2 linked regions of the Schizosaccharomyces pombe genome follow. The gene in region 2 interacts genetically with the main gene of each other region. Each region holds a gene or a part of one and is shown on either strand. Other genes may lie near its edges.

Region 1 (3,758 bases), on a different chromosome or scaffold from region 2:
TCTTAATACCATTATAGATTAATCATTTTGAATCATTCTGTATCTTTATTGTACTACTGGTACTAATTTTGCTTAGACATTTTTGCTCCTTCTTCTTCTTTTTGTTTAAATTATACATACCAAAATTTTGGACTTTGAATAATGGTAATTTTTGGTTGTCGTAGTGTTAAATATGTATGCGTCTTGCATATGAATCACGACGAAGGAATCAATTAAAAAATCAATCCTGTACATAATAAAATTAAGTTTATTTATTTCATTTTATCGGATTTAATCGTCTAAAATTTATATCTTGGTCATCCAAGCTTATATCTCTTTCTACTCTTATCAGCAGCACACTTTAGTTATGGTTATTTGAAAACTTGTGTATAAATTCCTGGTTATAGAGAAAATGAGTATAAGACAACAAAAAAAAGCCTAGTCGGCATGCGACATGTCTCAAACATATCTTTGGCGTATTGATGAGCATCTTACACACTCACTATACGTAACAATAAAATTAAGAGGGATTTCATGACAAAAGAATACTAGAGTGAAACCACTATGACTAAAATAAAAACTGGTAAAAGGTAATTCTAAAATATTAAATCATGTATAGAAAATAGTCCAATTAATCAAGATAGCGTTGAACGTGACCTGATACTAGATTGCACAAACGAAATAAAACAATCTTGAAGTAAAAGCAATAGCACAATAAAAGAGAAGATACCTCATTTAACTTAACAAATACATATGATGTTGACTCCGATTATTTTACATAGCGAAGTAGAGGAAAGTCAATAGGCATGATAGGAATGCCAAGCTTTAATGGTCTTGGTTGATTAATTGAAATCCGAAGTGGCTAAAGGATACAGAGGCAGATACGCATGTCAACTGTTCGCCATCAGCATTGTAGGCAGTAGCAAGCACATGGTATCTACCAGGTGGAATAGCCCAAGGGAGGGAAATGGTAGCTTGCTTGGTGATGATACCAGGTTCAACGGGACATTCAACAGCAGCAAGTTCGTAAGCCTTATCGCAAATGTCCAAGCGCTCATTCACAATTCGAACAAATCCATACTTTACCTGAATATCCACGTAACTGCCATTCAACACGGTAGTACCAACATTAATCTCAGTCTCAATGGTAAGGTTTTTACCGGCAGCTGGGGGATTCGGTATCAAATTAATGTAGTCAACGACAACATGGTCATCGCCACGATCCCAATCGGCACAATAGCTGGCAGGATTGGCTCCAGGGATCTTTTCACTGGTAGATGATACCAAATCGGTAGACTTTGACTCACCAAATGAGAAAGAAGAAAACCAAGAACTGGCACTTATAAAGATGGGCAAACAAGTGATTGCGTAAATAAAAGTTGTTAATCTCATGGTGTCTGTATTGTATAAATCTTATATTAGAGAAGGAAAAAAAGGATAATAAACTATATGTAAATGGATGCAGACTTTAAACAACGCGAAACAAATAGGCGATTCTGGGGCCAATTAATAATTAAAGAAGTAGTAAAGGTACTTCAAAGCAATTGAAATCTGAGGAAAAAGTACAAGAATCCCGTAAAGCAGATAAATTAAGGCGCAGACAAAGCAAGGTTTCTCTCAAACGACAGATTTGAGAAAAACTTCAATCTGCAACGTTTTTTCGAAAGTGAAACCGCTTTAATAATTTCTTTTTGAAGAATTGATTATATAGAGCTCTTTTAAACGTCCAAATCCTACGATAGAAGATAATTCGCCTCAGGTATGATATAGGTGGTGGTTAGGTTAGTAAGATGTCAGAACCCGGGCCACATGTGCTATGCCAGCAACGCAGAAATCGAGGCTCAACACTGTTACTAAGTGGAAATACGATTGTACCTTTAATATAAGCTAATTAATAAATAAGGGATACCCAGCGGAAGGCTATTTTTTAAATACTCTTTTACGAAGTGCTGCTACGATAAAATTGTGTATTGCAATTAACATCCGTAATGTAAAACAATCATAAGAAGATGTAAACAGTATGGTCGAAAGTTTGTAAGCGATATTTGAAGAGATTCAGATTTAATTTGTATAGAAAAACCTTTAATAAGATTTATATTCATGAAGTTCCTAGCAAGAGATATGGCTGAACAGCTTGATAAAGTGAGCGATTATTAAATGAAAGACAATGTGTGTCCCTGCAAACAATGGGGGGTAGGAAACTTTACCCCTAGTTATTGTATTTTTGTTCATTATTATTATTATCTCCTTTGTCTAATTAAAATTGATGAAAACCATTATTGTTGTTTTTATGTATTGTTTACTGTTTCTTAAGATCGACTAGCAGACAACGTCATTTGGCTGCACAAGCGAGTTTTAGCACGAGTTTGAACAAAATCATTAGACTGCTATACAATATGTTAAGCATCTTAAGCACTTGATGTAAAATAATATACACTAATTTATTATAGCGCAGTGCATGGCACTATATTATTTTACCTCCATACTAGGAATATATATAAGCTACCAATATATTTTATAAGGATATCACGAGATGGTAAAAATACTATTGATGCTAGGTATAAAGAAAAACACAAGGGTATACGAAGAATACGGTTCAATGATGATAAAAAAATGTCAAAATGAATAGGATGGATAGAAAAATTTTAATAAGAAATAATGTAATTACTGGAAGCTTTTTTAATTCATTTTTCTCTTTGACCATTCAATCTAATTCATGTATGAATAGTAAATTCCTTATAGTAAATACGGCCCGGCAATTATTTAGTATTGTTGATAAGTTTTCTCAATTTACAATACCATTTGAGGGGGATTACTTAATTGTAAAAATTTTATTGTTATGCTTGCTGTTGGGATAGCTTTGATAGCATGTTTGATTGTTAAGTAATTTTTTGTTTTCATTTTCTGTTGTTTACAAATGAATCAAAAGCCACAAGTCATTGTCCGTTTGTTTACGACCCATTGTTTGTGCAGTAAAATCTCCCCAAAAAAAAAAAAAAAAAAAAACTATCAATCAGCTCTTATCGCTCTTTCTCCACCCTTCCTTGTACCTTTATGATACCAATAACCCTTTTATTCGTTTTTCTTTCGTACAATGGCTTTTCACTATTGTAATACAATAGAGCTGCCCCTGGCGATTCCAAGCCGATGGAGCTGTTACTAACGATAACTTAGTAAAAACAATGTTTAGAGTATGAAAAGAGGTATCTTTGCTTGTCTACATCCGGTGTCTATCTTTGTGCATGGGATTTTTTGCATTATTGAGTATTAACAATTGACTAGACAATGGGTCCGACCAACAAAGAAGTCTCAGTTTTTTTTAAAACTTGGGAATTAAAATTTGTATTAAAGGACAGGATAATTCTGTATTTTCGCCATTGAATTCAACAGCTTTCAATTCACTCTCACGTCTCTTAAACCTTTTTGTTGACATTTCGTTTTTCACTTTCTTTACTTAACAATGGACTCAATGGCTAACTCCGTTTCTTCCTCCTCTGTCGTCAACGCTGGCAACAAGCCTGCTGAAACTCTTAACAAGACCGTTAAGAATTATACCCCCAAGGTTCCTTACATGTGGTAAGTCAATAATTTCCCAAATACTTCGTAGACAGGATGTGTTCAAAATTTACTAACCGATTTCATTTTAGTGTCATTGCATAAATATGTAATGTTTAGACAAGCCACTTTTCTTGCCTACGTTCTCTAGTACTTTAGGACGTCCTTTTTTTTTGCAATTATTCTGTTTTTGTTCAGCTTTCTCAAGCAGACGTACAATTGCT
Region 2 (3,758 bases):
AGATAGAATCAACATATCAGTTTTGTATTAGAACATTTTGATACACGTTTCATGATTCATTTATCCAATATAGTTTTAGTAGAATGATATTCATTTTAGTAGATAATCTAAAAAAGCAAATATTAAACTGCATCAGCCGGGAGTCGAACCCGGAGCTAATGCTTGGAAGGCATTGATGTTACCGCTACACCACTGATGCATTTATTATTTAGAGGTTAAAGAATATGTTATATATTGTTACAAAAGCAGTGTCTTAAGAATGTGTATAATTCTGAAGAAATTTTTTGTTGTTTTGAATAATAAGGAATATTTGGTTTATTGATTTACTGGTTCTATTTGTGAATCGGCTTTTGCTCAAAATACCGAATCTATTTTTTGGATATTTTAAAAAAATCAGCAAACATGCACCAAATGCTTAAATCTCTTCAACAATAATGTTTACAACTCGATAGGAAGTGATTACTCAATACTGCAAACCCTTCTTATAAATTTCTTTTATAAATACCTTTTGTATGAATTAAATCAGTACTCACTTCTATGCTAAATACTGAATATTCTCCATATTAAAATATTCTCAATCATTTACAATTCATGCCAAACCCCAATAGGTTTCTAAATTTTTTATTTATAAAAAAGAAAGGAGATACAAAAACTCTAGGATCTCAGGAAGATAGTTTCAATTTCAGGTTTTTATCATCCATAAAAGTTTTATAATTTTTCAATAGAATAAATACAATCCCAAGCTCATCAAACTAAAAGTTAAGACGAGCATTAACAATACATGCCCAATTTTCCAATAAAAACAAAAACAGTAGTTTTTTACCCCATGCTTAATCAGTATCACTATAAACATCTTCTTCAAGCTTACATCCCCATAAATTATCTTCCAAATCCGATAGTTCATCATCCTCTTCTAAAAATAATGGTAGAGCAGGCACTCCTTCAGCAAGAGCATGACTTCGTGGGTTCTCTACATACTTGGAAATTTTCAAATATTTTTCAGAATCAGTTCCTTCATACAAACTAATTGCTTTAGTCCCCTTTTTTGCAAAAATACTGGCTCTCTCAAAATCACCGTGGATGACACATAATCGGAAGGCATCCAGAAGTGCAATTATATCTAACCGACCGAAAAGAAGCTCTTCGTGGGCAATGTGTATCCTATGTCTCAATGCTCTTAGAGCACCTCTTGGATTAACTATACACATTTTTGCCATGGTTCGGTCATAGTAGGCCAGTTGCTTTCTCCTTAAATCGCTGATTTTCCTAATCTTTCGTTCCTCTACAGAGCAAACACTACAATAACATTTAAATCCAAAATGCTCGAGCAATATTTTTTGTCTTTCCGTATGTGATTTATGTAAGTCTATATATGTCGTAAGTATTTCCTCGCCAGCCTCGATGTCGCGAACAGCATGAACCGTAACCTGATCAAGTCTAGGATTCCACGTATGTTTCACGTTAGGACTACAATCGTGATTCATTCGAGAACCAAGTAAAAACATTCCACCCTTTGTCTCATCAATGGTCAGCGCATTGGAATAAAATGGCCCAAGGAATGGTCCCATAGTGTCTGGATGAGCGTTGAAAAGTCTATGAAAAGCTTCCTGTTCTTCTTTTGTTTTTGTAGACAGTGCTTCCTCGATTTCCTTAGCGTCACTTTTTGTCCTTATCAAAGGCGTTTCTGCAAAAATTCTTGTACCGACGGGGATTTTTACTTTTGCAATCATACCCATTCCTTTGTTAGGAATGGGGACAACTTTATAAATCTCTGTTTCATACGGGTTCATGTAGTACGATTAAGCAATACATTAACGCATGGACGCTTAAAGTTTTCAAAGTTTGGAGATTTTGGTGGTTACGAAATACGCTGCAAAAAATAGAGAAAAAGAATCCAATATATATGGATAAAGCTGAAAATAGTTCTTTACTATTTACTCCAATATTTCTTTTTCTTTTATTGTACTTTTAACCCCAATTGGTTATATCACAATTTGTTTTTCCCAAGAGATCTGTCAATTTTCAAAAAAAAAAAAAAAAGAAAAGGAATATAATTCGAATTTCAAAATGTTCAGAGTGTTATGGCATTTTAAATATATTCCTAAATTTATTATTAATTATAGCAATTTGTTTATATTTTATTGTCAAGGATCTTGAATTAATCATAAACTTTGTCATCATATTTTTTTATAAAATCCTTCGTACAAGAAAAATGTAGATTGGCAATTGACGAAACAAAAGCTCCATTTCTTACCGTATCAAAGATATCAAAACACGTAATTAAAATGGTTTAAAAAATCCTTCAAACGATGGTTTAGCATTACCAAAAAATATAATCGCAAGTTTGTGATTAAGCTTAGATTGAAATCCTAGAATTTATTGGTATGTTGATACCTGAAACAGCTTCTGCATTACATTATTATTATTATTTTTTAGATTTAAAAAATAAATGTCAAACTATCATGAAAAAGTACCTAAAATGAAATAAAAGGATGCGCATTATTCGATATGCATGTGGAATTGGTATACTAAAACTTAGAGAATTACTGAACTCAAGAGCAAAATCTTGCTATGGCCAGTTCTTCATAACACAGTACTTTATATGTAGATATTGTTTGAAACGAAAATTGTAAATGTCACTTCGGTTAATGTAAGTTAAATCACTTAAAAGAAACTGTACCAGAGTTTTTGAGATTTAGGATTTGAAGGGTAAACTAGAAATAATTTGATTTATTATAATATTCGGCATTTCCGTACCTTGTCAATGTGTGAATTATGTGCATAGGTATTTCGTAGGGTGAACAAAATGAAACTTGACCAATGTGCCCCATTTCAGACCTTGACAAAATGAATGAAAGTTTTAAGATCAGAGATACTTTTTCACTATAAAATTCTTCATGTCAAGGATTATTATAATCTCACTCTTTCTTACTCGGCGTCGATGATTTTCGGTTCAATAAAAAAAAACAAATTGTTGATTAAAAAGGAATAATAAAAAAGAACGAATCTTATTCTAACTCGCCTACATTTGTTATTATTTACCTACTTTTTTTCTGATATTTACTACTACATGCCCTTTTCAATAATTTGGTAACTCAAGTCACATGTTACTTCGATAACTTTTATGAAATTGTCTTCGTTCATCTTCAACCATTAGTCCCTTACGACTTAGTTGATGAATTTTACTTGAAGTTTACGATACTATTTAATTAGTAAATTTTTCAATCAATAGGAAAAACAAGAAGTTTTCTTATGGAAATGATAATATAGTTACAACTTGACTGACGGCATACTCCTTTCTGTATAAAAAACATAGTTAAGGTCTATTGATAGAATTTTTAATGTGTTTATGATAATATTTTTATTTATTAAAGCGAAATCGAGTTATTAACTTCCTTTTTTGTTCTGATTCACTGTTCTTTTGCATCTAAAATTAAATTTCTTTAAACTCCTTTCGCCGGAAGAAATTCAATCCCTTCGAGAACTATTTGCTTTCAAATCAAAATTTATTTTTGAAAATTTATTAAGTTTCACTTGTTGCAGTATGAATTCCGTTCCTAATGAATTGACGAAAAGCCAAGAGTTGTTTGGACAGATCTCCAAGATATCCCATTCGAAGGTAAGTTAAATCATTTCTATAGAAGCATCTTGTTTTCCTCTCTAACAATGGTTGCAGATTTCCATTTCCGAACTTATCACTCTCCTTGACATTCATTATAGTGAGCTGTTTACGAAAAACCCTTGGATGAAAAAAGAAG

The links.
Region 1: mutations in set5 (region 2) and npc2 together harm fitness less than expected from each alone (positive genetic interaction), as found in Schizosaccharomyces pombe (one large-scale study listed by BioGRID).

What each region holds. Positions count from the first base shown.
Region 1 is NC_003424.3:4,913,660-4,917,417, forward strand, and holds npc2 (phosphatidylglycerol/phosphatidylinositol transfer protein), read right to left. Parts: upstream 1,759-3,758; 5' UTR 1,372-1,758; coding exon 805-1,371; 3' UTR 312-804; downstream 1-311. Other genes in the region: M-factor precursor Mfm1, read left to right, coding at 3,440-3,555, 3,627-3,639. UniProt on the Schizosaccharomyces pombe protein: Catalyzes the intermembrane transfer of phosphatidylglycerol and phosphatidylinositol.
Region 2 is NC_003421.2:2,033,793-2,037,550, reverse strand, and holds set5 (histone lysine methyltransferase Set5), read right to left. Parts: upstream 1,873-3,758; 5' UTR 1,791-1,872; coding exon 831-1,790; 3' UTR 558-830; downstream 1-557. Other genes in the region: protein Dms1, read left to right, coding at 3,545-3,619, 3,677-3,758. UniProt on the Schizosaccharomyces pombe protein: Histone methyltransferase that monomethylates 'Lys-5', 'Lys-8' and 'Lys-12' of histone H4 (H4K5me1, H4K8me1 and H4K12me1, respectively), thereby controlling gene expression and remodeling chromatin structures.